Ovis aries: one gene and its partners. The protein of the gene in region 3 interacts with the protein of the main gene of each other region in a pairwise test. Links are inferred from orthologs where the notes say so. Each region holds a gene or a part of one and is shown on either strand. Other genes may lie near its edges. The genes, in order: FXR1, WDR83 and HSPB1.

Region 1 (3,649 bases), on a different chromosome or scaffold from region 3:
CTATTCCACACAGAAACTAAAATTCCAGACAACAGTTAATATGCTACAGTAAAATTACCCAAGGTGGGGGACAAGCAGCATACCTCTCCGTAGATTCTAAATGTTCCAGTATCTTCATCTAGCTCAATAGCTGTAACTCCAGGAACCTTTCTAGCTTGCTGTATATTACTACCATGTGTTCCTATCGCCAGGCCCATCAAATCTTCTCTCACAACAAATTCCTCATGAAAAGCCGCTGCAAGTTGCTTTGTGCACTAGTAAAAGAGGCAAATTAGTATTATAAAAGACAAAAAAAAATTTTTGTACACCCATGTTCATAGCATTATTTACAATAGTCAAGAGGAGGAAGCAACCCAAAGGTCCACTGAATGATGAATGGATAAGCAAAATGTGATATATGCACACAATCAGAATTATTCAGCCCTAAAAAGAAAATTTTGATACATGCTACAACATGGACAAACTGAGAATATTATACTTAGTGAAATAAGCCAGTCACAAAAAGATAAATACTATATGATTCCACTTACAAAAAGGTTATCTAGAGTAGTCAAATTTGTAAACACAAAGTAGAATGGTGGTGGTGTGGAGCTGGGGGAAAGGGAAATAGGAAGTTGTTTAAATGGAGAGAGAGATTCAGTTTTGCAAGATGAAAATGTTCTGAAGATTGACTGATCAACAGTGTGAATATATTTCTCAATACTATGAACTGTACACTTAAAAATGGTTAGGATGGTAAATGTTATGTTTATTCTACTACAATTAAGAAAAAGAAAAGGGAAAAAAGAAAAAAGGTAGTTCACTTGGTCATGTAATGGAAGGGGGAAGTCTGATCATTCTATTTAATCATGGTCACAGAAAACAGTAATTCTAAAACAATTTTCCAGAACTACTCACACACAGAGCTCTCCAACTCAAATGATTCTTATTTCAAAACTCATTCACGTATCACTTGTTTGGAAATTTGAAATTAGTTAAGGGCACTCATGTACTTGTCCTAAAGATAAACAAACCTCAAATTCCCTAAGACTATGCGTGGGAGCACATATATGTGTGGGAGGGAGTAGGGGCAACAAATCACCTAACAATGTGGCAGTAAAAAGTAGAAGAAAACAGGAGTACCTCAGGACAGAACAGAGAAAAGCAATGACAGGCTCTTTTTTAAAACTACAAGCCATGTGACCTCCTCTCTTCTTACCCAAGAGTTGTTATACTAATGAACTAGTTACTAATAAAGTGCATTGACTGATAGCTCACAGGACAATTAAAAAACAGAGTAAAGAACTAGCAATAAAGTTCTACTGGAAATCCCTACTGAGTTTCTAAGCTTTGGCACCATTCAGGTATTTAGCAGCTAAGAGGCTATGTTTGATAAAAGTAATAGAGAAAAGTAACTCTAAGGACACAATAATTCCAGTTATTAGCCATAAAATAGTTCCCAAGTAGCCTTACCTAACAGTCATATAGTTTCAGCCATAGAACTTGAATAATATACTCGGGAAACTAAATGAGAAGCACAAAAAATCTTTTACATGTAAACCCACTTACTTCTAAATGCTTAGTGGCCTCTTCATTTCTGGACATAAGCATCAATTTTGTACGAATACTTCGCAAATGCATGTCACTCAAAATATTTACTCTCTTCACAGTTGCTTCACTGGCAGACTATAAACAAATAAGTTACTAATTCAAAAACTTAAACCCTTTTTTTTAATACAAACACAACCTTCCAAATAAAGCCTCCATTGATTTTCATCTACTGTACTCTCCTTACCTAACATGCACCCCCTCCCACAAATAATCTTACTTGTTTTTTTAATTTCCGTATTACTTAGATCTGCTCTTCAAATTATGATGGGGGGAGGAGGGATATAGAATCCCGGATCCCATACGTTAAGAATTTTATGACGTAAAGAAAGCTGTATTCCGATTTTTCCTCCTTTCTCCAGGAAAGATTTAAAATTAACAATTTTATAACTGCAAAAACTTTTTTCTCCCACATTGTATTCTAATAAAGTCACCATAAAACAAGTTATCCTTTATCTTTGAAATAATTATAAAATATGTACAATGTACAGTTTAATAAAGTGAAAAGTGTTAGTCCCTCAGTCCTGTCTGACTCTTTGCAAACCCCATAGACTGTAGCCTGCCAGGTGCCTCTGTCCATGGAATTCTCCAGGCAAGAATACTAGAGTGGGTTGCCATCCCTTCTCCAGTGGATCTTCCCCACCCAGGGATTGAACCTGGGTCTCCTGCATTGCAGGCAGATTCACAATATTCACTATATACCTCAAAATATGGAGTCATCTTACCAGTATCATTAGCTGTGTTGTTTCTGGATGGTAAAAAATTCTGCATGCTCCTACTGCTTTCTTAAAATCTTTATGTGCATTTTCATTAGCACACCTAAGGAGAGAGTAATTCACGTTTAAGACCGAAACAACAGGTTAAATTTAGAGGGCAATTGTAATGAAAACTCTTGTATTTCATACTGACACCACCCACTGAAAACTTTTGTCTGTTTAAAAACATTTTCTGTCAAAGTTTTAATTGGGTGTTTGGGGTAAAAAAGATTTTTGTTGCACTGAAAAATCCCCTTAATTCACAAAGCAATTCAACAGTAAACAAAATTACTCACGCCTCTCTCAAATCCTCAGGAACATCCACTGTGCATTTAAAGAAGGTATTTTTTTTGACAGTTTTATTTTGATTGACAGGCCGAAGTCGTTCAAATGTGACTATTTCATTGTAAGTGGCATCACAAGCAGCATATTCAATGACATAAAACTAAAAGACATCAAAACACTTTTAAAATCCCATCCAAAAAAAAATAATGACCTTTAAATGAAGTTCTAATTACTTTGCTTGGATTAAGCAGTAGACCCTCCCCCTTGTGGCACAAGTACTAAGCACAGCTTAGTTACATCAACCTGATTTGCCTAAACTAGATTGGAGGTTCTTACAAGCAAGAACTCTGGTGGTCCTCACATGCTTGCAAAATACCTCTGGAGAGCAGCTTTGGTATTTGCAAATCCAGAACACAAACAGAAATGAATGATCTGATGAATTTTTGAAATACATGATTATTTCTGAAATAGGCTTTTTAACAACAAAACTAAGAGTTGGAGTAACAGTTACAGAAACCAAGAGTCAACTTATTTCCTTGAAAATTAATCACAAAGCAAGTTTTAACATAACTTACTTCTCCTTTCATCATTCGAACTTTAGCCAACCACCATCCACATGGTTCTTGATCATTTGCTCTTGAATATACCTGACAGAAAAAAAAAGTGCCCTTATTCATTTATCCCAAAAGATTAACACTGTAAATAATGACTTTTTATAAGTGCAAAATTATGTTAAATTCAAGAATCAAAAAATGTTACTGTGAACAAGATGAAACTGCTACACAAGCGTAATGTAACAAGAACTATATATGCCTAAGGCAGAGGAATCAGAGATCAAATTGCCAACATCCACTGGATCATAGAAGAAGCAAGGAAATTCCAGAAAAACATCTACCTCTGTTTCATTGACTATGCTGAAGCCTTTGACTGTGTGGATCTTAACAAACTGTGGAAAACACTTGAAGAGATGGGAATACCACACCATCTTATCTGTCTCCTGAGAAACCTGTATGTAGGTCAAG
Region 2 (3,749 bases), on a different chromosome or scaffold from region 3:
GCCCTGAGGGCAAGGCTAGCACCTGTCCTTCCCAGTACCCTTCACTGTCACGTCATGCTTAGGATCGGCCACGGAAAACATACACTGAAGTGAACTCAAGAGTGGAATTCTGGGACTTCCCAGGTGGTCCAGTGGCTAAGACTCTGAGTTCTCAATGCAGGAGGCCTGGGTTCAATCCCTGGTCAGGGAACTCCATCCAACATGCTGCAACTAAGACCCAATGCAGCCAAATAAGTAAATTAAAAATAAGTATTAAAAAAAAAGTGGAATTCTGAGGCAATGGCTTTAAGACTCAGACCCAAGGGCCAATCAAGTCCCATTCCATCTATTTCTGCTTTCTACTGAGCTCCCTCTCTGGGCCAGACCCTGTGCAGAGACTTGGAACACAGCTGCTACCAAGACAGGAGCACTTGCTGCCAACGTGGAACCTCACTGACTGAGGGGCATCAGCTCCCAGGAGGTGACATTGGAATTGAGACTTGAGGCTGAGAAAGGAGCCAACCATGTTCAGTTCAAGGGGGGATGTGTGGGAACTGGGTGGGCTGACAAGCCAAGCAGTCCAAACACCCCAAGTGGTGGGATTAGCACTCCTGCAGGTTGTGGCAACACTTGGGCAGCCCTGCATGGGAATTTTTTTTAAATTGTCTCCTGCAGCTAGACTGTCAAATCTATGTAGGCAGGGGTTTTCCTTGTTTTTCTGTCTTGTTCACTGCTGTATGCCCACTGACTAAAAATGGGACCTGTAGGAGGTACTCAGACACACTCTAAGTAGTATAGGAATGGTCCAGGTGGAGAAAGGGCAATTGCATGTTGGTCCCAGAGTGGAAGCATGTGTGGCATATTTAACAGAAATTAGCTGCAATACTTTGGTCACCTGATGCCAAGAGCCGACTCATTGGAAAAGACCCTGATGCTGGGAAAGACTGAGGGCAAGAGAAGGGTGCGACAGAGAATGAGATGGTTGGATGGCATCACTGACTCAACGGACATGAGTTTGAGCAAACTCCAGAAGATAGTGAAGGACAGGGAAGCCTGGAGTGCTACAGTGCATGGGGTCGAAAAGAGTTGGACATGACTTAGCGTCTGAACAACAACCACATAAAAGCTGAGAGCACAACAGAGACCAGACCATGCAGGGCCTTATGAGCACAATGAGGAGAGTAGATTTTTAAATCTAAGTACAGAGACCGCTCTGAACCTCAGTGGCACCTGGTGAGCGACAAGGTCCTGGTCCCACTCACCCTGCGAGGACCTCATGGTCTGACACCTTCACGCTGGATATACCATCTCTGGCTTCGTCCAGGGTCTGTATTGGCTCAGGTTTCCGAGAGCGACAGTCCCAGCAGCGGATGGTGGAATCGATAGAGCCTGTAAGGCCAGCATGAAGGTGGATCAGGTTTAGGGGGCAGAGACAGTCTCCTGGGCCCACCTAACAAGGCCTTGGACTCACCAGACAGGATAACTGTGGCCTCTTCATTAAACTGCACTGTGTTCACCTTCTGCGAAACAGGAACTGCCACTTAGAGGATGAGGACAAAAGCAAGGTTCCCAGTGCAAGTTAAAGCAAAGGAAAAAGGTTAAGGGTAGGGGAGATCAAAGAGTTGGGGGGAACTGCAAGGATGGGGCTTGATGAAGCGGGGGCCATGGGGAAGGATACTTGCGCTGTATTGCGGGGGGGGGGGAGAGAGCGGATCCCTGTTACCACCCACATGCAAATCAGTTAATGAGACCCCTTCTTGCTTGCACTCACCCCCGCGTGGCCCCGGAATTTCCGCACGACTTGCCCTGACGCCACATCCCACAGCACCACCGCCTTGTCCCCACCTCCAGAGCAAAGACTGCTGTTATCAAAGGAGCTAGAAGGCAGAGCATAGAAAATTTAGCATCTGCTTCTGTTCCTGGCCTCAGCGCCCCGATCCCGCCTTGGCCCCCCGGCTCACCCAGCCGCGTCCAGCACCTCGTAGCCGTGGCCGCTGTACGTCCGCAGTAACGTCCCCCGTAGCGGGTTCCACAGCTTCAGGGTCTTGTCGCTGCCGCAAGTTAGACAGTAATTGCCATCCACTGGGGAACACCAGGCGGGGTTACTGGGCCGCCGACCTTAGGAGGCGGGAGGAGGACTCGGAAAGAAGATCAGGGCGCTCACCATTAAATCGCACAGCTCGAACCGCCCCCTGCCCGCAGTCCAACGTCTTCAACCGTTTCTGCGGCAGCTCGGGGCCCCGCGGTTTGGGCTCAGGGAAAGCCATCCCTCGGCTTTCCCTTCCTCGCCACCTCACACGCACCGGCACGGAAGCATTCCTTGCCCTGGGAGGGTGTAACCTTATTATTGTCCTCCATAGTCTACTTCCTACTTCTCACTTCCGGGTTCTACATTTAGGCTCTTTGGAGATAGTGTTGGAAACACTGAAACTTGTCTCCAGCTTCCCAGTTTCTTTCCCCACTTCTGGTCTTCTAGGAGCATTTTTGGCTTCTCCGAATTCTCTGTCCCCTGGCTGGGGGTAGTTCCGGTAACCGTCGATAGGAACGGAAGCGCGAGGGCTGAGAGTGTTACTCTAAAAACTTTCCTGTGTTTCCAAGCTGGAAGCTGCCGGAAGCTGCGATTCCCGCAGCGGAAGAGGCGCGACTTCTGACTCGCTATGTCCGCGAACAGTATGTCGGACCCACGGAGGCCCAACAAAGTGCTGAGGTGAGGCTCCTAGTTGTCATGGTGTTAAAAAAAAGAAAAAGATTCAGCTGTAAACTTGAATGATATAATTGGCTTTACCAAATGAATCATAAATTGGACAACATCCCATCTAGCAAGTAGAGGGAAGCGCTAAAGAGCTACAGAAACGAAAAGGTTATTTAAAGGCAGGACAAGGAAGTCATAAACAGAAAAAAGGATGATTTCAGATTATATTAGTTTCCTTTTGGGGAGAAAAGGGTCTTATTAGGTGGAGGTTACCTCATTTTCCTTTTGAAGGATGAAGAGGGGAGAGAACCTAAGTGACTGCCTCATTGGTGCTGACCAGAAAATTCGTGACTGACCGATTAAGACTGCATTTCTGGAGGAAGTTGAAGCTTCTATTAGGTTAGATATTAAGCCCCGATTTGGTAGCTTGGCCAAGTACAAATTTTTGGACCTGTGGTATTCTTTTTAACAATCCTCCCTGTCTTCCCCCCTCCCCCCTCCCAATCAGAGTCTCTCTAACTGAGAGATGTGATCAAAACTTAAGGCATGAGCGCCACTCTCAGCTGCTACTCTGAGGTTCTCTTAGTTTTTGTTGTTCTTTTGCATGCTATCCATAGTTAACCCCTGTGATAGTCACAGGTCCTTGCTGGCTTCAGGTTCACAGTCTCTGAGTTGGTTATTCTCTTGTTATTTTTCTGATGTTCTAGTCATAGGGAGATCTTTTGCTTGATGATTAGTGGCTGTGATTATGCATTTAAAGCTTCTGGGAGAATACAGTGCCTTCAGTTCAGTTGCTCAGTCGTGTCCAACTCTTTGTGACCTCATGGGTTGCAACACACCAGGCGTCCCTGTCCATCACCAACTCCCAGAGCTTGCTCAAACTCACATCCATCCAGTCGGTGATGTCATCCAACTATTTCATCTTCTGTCCTCCCCTTCTCCTCCCGCCTTCAGTCTTTCTTACCATCAGGGTCTTGTCCAGTGAGTCAGTTCTTTGCATCAGGTGGCCAAAGTATTGGAGTTTCAGCTTTAGCACCAGTCCTTCCAGTGAATATTCAGGACTGATTTCCTTTAGGAT
Region 3 (3,435 bases):
GAGAAGGAAGGCAGGAGAGAGAGATTGTTAGGATTATGGCAGGAAGCTAGGGGCAGCATCTTTTCCCAGAGCGGGTAGTGGGGGCGTGGATCTCACAGGCGGTCAGATCGGAGGAGGGGCCGGCCTCAGGCTCCAAGCAAGTTTGAAGGAATTGCCCCCTCTCCGTCTGCGGGAATATTCAACAGAACAGGATCGAGGTAATAACCTGCCAACAGGGAAAGGAGCATTGGCCCAAATCACACAAACAGCAAAGCCCTGACTAGATTCAAGGTTGCTGCATTTCAAGTTCCCCTGTCTAGGGCTCCTCCAGAAAACTAGATATAATGGGGAGACTTGACCATAACCTTCTTCCTGACCCCTTCTCAGTACTGGCCCTCAAGGTTTGTGATCTGAGTCTACTCCACTGGGGTTCAGTGGGCAAATGGCCAAACCTACACATACCATTGCCTCTGCAACAGGGACACATACATGCTTTCCTTCTTGCCCCCTCCTTCAACTTCAGGGGCTAATAATAATTATAGATAATATATTATCTATATATATTATCTATATATAAATATAGATAATATATTCATTATCGTGTACCCTGGACTAAAATGTTTACTTGCATTGAGGCTGAATCTTCAAACCAACCTAGCGATGAAAGCATTATCATCACCACCATCATCCCATTTTCCCGATGGGGAAACTGAGGCAAAAGACTCTGAACTTGCACAAGTTCATCCAGTGAGTGGCAGAACCTGCATGTGAACTCAGGCGGTCTACCTCCCGAGACCGCCCTAACCACGCTGCTTCTTAAGGCATTATATCACAGACACACTGCCTTCCAAATCCTGGCTCGCTCTGCCAGTTCCTAGTTGTGCGCCCTGGGACTCACTGCTCGACCTCTCTCTCTCCCCTTGGGACTCACTGCTCGACCTCTTTCTCTCTTTCTCTCTCTCCCTCTCGGCTTTGTCCTCCCCGACTGTCCACAGATAGAGGCCCAGCGCTTTAGCACCCAGGCCTCCGAGCGTCCAGCAGTGGGCAGTGCTCCGACATCGAGGCTCTAGTCATTTGTTTTCTCGAACAAGAGAAGGTTCCAGATGTGGGCAGGGCCTTCCTCGCCCCGCCCCGCGCCCCGGTATGCAGTGGAGGGGAATGCAGGGGGAGGGGCTGCCCCCTGGCCCGTCATTGCCATTAATAGAGACCTGAAACACCGCCTGCTAAAAATACCCGGCTGGAGACCCATAAAAGCGCTACGGGGTCCGGCGCCCGCCACTTCTCCCGCTTCTCCGAGCCTACTCCGGACGCACCCAGACTAGCCAGCATGGCCGAGCGCCGAGTGCCCTTCTCGCTCCTAAGGGGCCCCAGCTGGGACCCTTTCCGCGACTGGTATCCGGCCCACAGCCGCCTCTTCGACCAGGCCTTCGGGCTGCCCCGGCTGCCCGAGGAGTGGTCGCAGTGGCTGAGCCACAGCGGATGGCCGGGCTACGTGCGCCCGCTGCCCGCCGCAGCGATCGAGGGTCCCGCCTACAGCCGCGCGCTCAGCCGACAGCTCAGCAGCGGGGTCTCCGAGATCCAGCAGACCGCCGACCGCTGGCGCGTGTCCCTGGACGTCAACCACTTCGCCCCCGAGGAGCTGACGGTCAAGACCAAGGACGGCGTGGTGGAGATCACTGGTAAGCACCCCCTGGCCCCCGCCCCAGGGACGCCGGCCCCTCGCCTCTCGCGGGTCCCGGGGAAGAGCTCTGGGTTGAAACATGGGCGGGGAGCCGGGAGAGGGGGCCGCTGGAAAGTGAAAACTTAGCCGAGGACGGGCGGTGGGGGGGAAGGCGGGGAGCCCCCAGAGCGGGGCCCGGCCTCTTCGCCCTAGCCCTGGTCTGTATTCTCTGGAGTTGGGGTTTGCTGGAGTTCCTAAGGGATCTTTTAGCCCTAAAAAGTCTCCACTAAGGAAAGCAACGCCCCCTTCCAGCGGAGACTCCCCTCAACCCCAGCCCTCGGACCTGAGGACCTGGCCCCCAAGGGACCAGGCCCCCCCGCCACGCCCCACCCACCCGGGCCCGCAGTCGGTATGAAGAGGGCGTCGCCCTCGCCGCCCTGCCCCCCATGCCCCCCACGTCACGGTCCCTGCTCCCAGCCCGGGTCCGCGGAGGGGGCGTGTGCGCCTGCCCCGAGCCGCGCTTCCACCCCCACCCCCCACTCGCCAAGCCCCTGAACCCGAACTTTCCAAAAGCTTCTGAGTTCCCCAAAGCTTCTGAGTTCCCGGGACAGTCTCGGGCACCCAGATCCCTCCGTCAGTCTTGCCAGCCCGGAGTCCTGGCCCGCAGGTGGGGCGCGCTGGGCTGCGAGCCAGCGGCTAGGCCGCCCCTCCCCGCCTCCTCTGACCTACTTCCCCTCCCCCTCCTCCCAGGCAAACACGAGGAAAGGCAGGACGAGCACGGCTACATTTCCCGTTGCTTCACTCGCAAATACACGTGAGTCCTGGCTCCGGATCTGGGGGGCGGCGGGCGGGAGAGGGGCGCGCGGGGACGCCCTGGTGTGTAACTCTTGTCCACCCTCTTTGCCCGTCCAGGCTGCCCCCCGGTGTGGATCCCACCCTGGTCTCCTCCTCTCTGTCCCCTGAGGGCACACTCACCGTGGAGGCCCCGTTGCCCAAGTCAGCTACCCAGTCTGCCGAGATCACCATTCCCGTCACCTTCCAGGCGCGTGCCCAGCTTGGCGGCCCCGAAGCCGGAAAGTCCGAACAGCCGGCAAACAAGTAAAGGCCCTTTGCCCAGCGGCCCACCCCACAAGTAGCCATCACTGACCATCCTCACCCGCCAAACCTCTATGTTCTTTTGATACGTTTGCCTTCTGTTTTTCTCAAATAAAGTTTGAAGCCACTGCCCGCCACTGCCTCAGACCCTGCTGGTTTTGTGAAGGAAGAAGGGTTGGTGCTGGTTTGATGTTTGCTGAGGGCCCGCTGGGCACCAAGCCCCAGGCTGGGTCCTGTGGGTGCAGTATCATCTGTCACTGGGCACAGCCCTGCCCTCCTGTACCCCTTGTTCATTAAGAGAGAAGCAGTGATTGTTCACCGGAGTTAAAACGCCCAGGGCTGGAGGGGGAGCAGGGGAAATTATGAGAGGCACTTGACCCAGGCTTGGGCACTCAGGAACCACCTGGGCAAGGGGGCAGGTGAGGGAAGACAGGGCAGGGCTGGGGGAGAGGGCTTCCTGGGAGCTCAGATTCCTGACTTCATCGTAGAGGGTTTGGACCAGGTAGATTGGAGGGGAGGTGTGGCCACCCCTGGCGGCTTTCTGAGGGGCGATTCCCCCAGCCCAGCCCATGTAGGCAGCACGGGACCTGGGTCCTCAGGTCTGAGAGTGCCCCGCAGAGAGTGATGAGCAGGTGTGGCTTAGGTTTTGGTGGAAGAGAGAGGCAAAGACCTGATGTGGGAAGTAGTGGCCGCAGGAGGGC

What was found.
Region 1: the proteins of HSPB1 (region 3) and FXR1 interact in a two-hybrid assay, tested with the Homo sapiens proteins (2 studies listed by BioGRID and IntAct). The link is inferred for Ovis aries from reciprocal best matches to the Homo sapiens genes HSPB1 and FXR1.
Region 2: the proteins of HSPB1 (region 3) and WDR83 interact in binary tests that used the Homo sapiens proteins (3 or more experiments, as listed by UniProt). The link is inferred for Ovis aries from reciprocal best matches to the Homo sapiens genes HSPB1 and WDR83.

The regions. Positions count from the first base shown.
Region 1 is NC_056054.1:206,905,595-206,909,243, forward strand, and holds part of FXR1 (RNA-binding protein FXR1), read right to left. Parts: intron 3,275-3,649; coding exon 3,203-3,274; intron 2,788-3,202; coding exon 2,639-2,787; intron 2,407-2,638; coding exon 2,313-2,406; intron 1,666-2,312; coding exon 1,549-1,665; intron 255-1,548; coding exon 84-254; intron 1-83. UniProt on the Homo sapiens protein: mRNA-binding protein that acts as a regulator of mRNAs translation and/or stability, and which is required for various processes, such as neurogenesis, muscle development and spermatogenesis.
Region 2 is NC_056058.1:11,122,420-11,126,168, forward strand, and holds the start of WDR83 (WD repeat domain-containing protein 83), read right to left. Parts: upstream 2,289-3,749; 5' UTR 2,247-2,288; coding exon 2,144-2,246; intron 2,062-2,143; coding exon 1,941-2,061; intron 1,857-1,940; coding exon 1,751-1,856; intron 1,500-1,750; coding exon 1,451-1,499; intron 1,369-1,450; coding exon 1,242-1,368; intron 1-1,241. Other genes in the region: WDR83OS (PAT complex subunit Asterix), read left to right, coding at 2,637-2,686. UniProt on the Homo sapiens protein: Molecular scaffold protein for various multimeric protein complexes. Acts as a module in the assembly of a multicomponent scaffold for the ERK pathway, linking ERK responses to specific agonists.
Region 3 is NC_056077.1:34,787,828-34,791,262, forward strand, and holds HSPB1 (heat shock protein beta-1), read left to right. Parts: upstream 1-1,256; 5' UTR 1,257-1,306; coding exon 1,307-1,658; intron 1,659-2,389; coding exon 2,390-2,453; intron 2,454-2,551; coding exon 2,552-2,741; 3' UTR 2,742-2,866; downstream 2,867-3,435. UniProt on the Homo sapiens protein: Small heat shock protein which functions as a molecular chaperone probably maintaining denatured proteins in a folding-competent state. Plays a role in stress resistance and actin organization.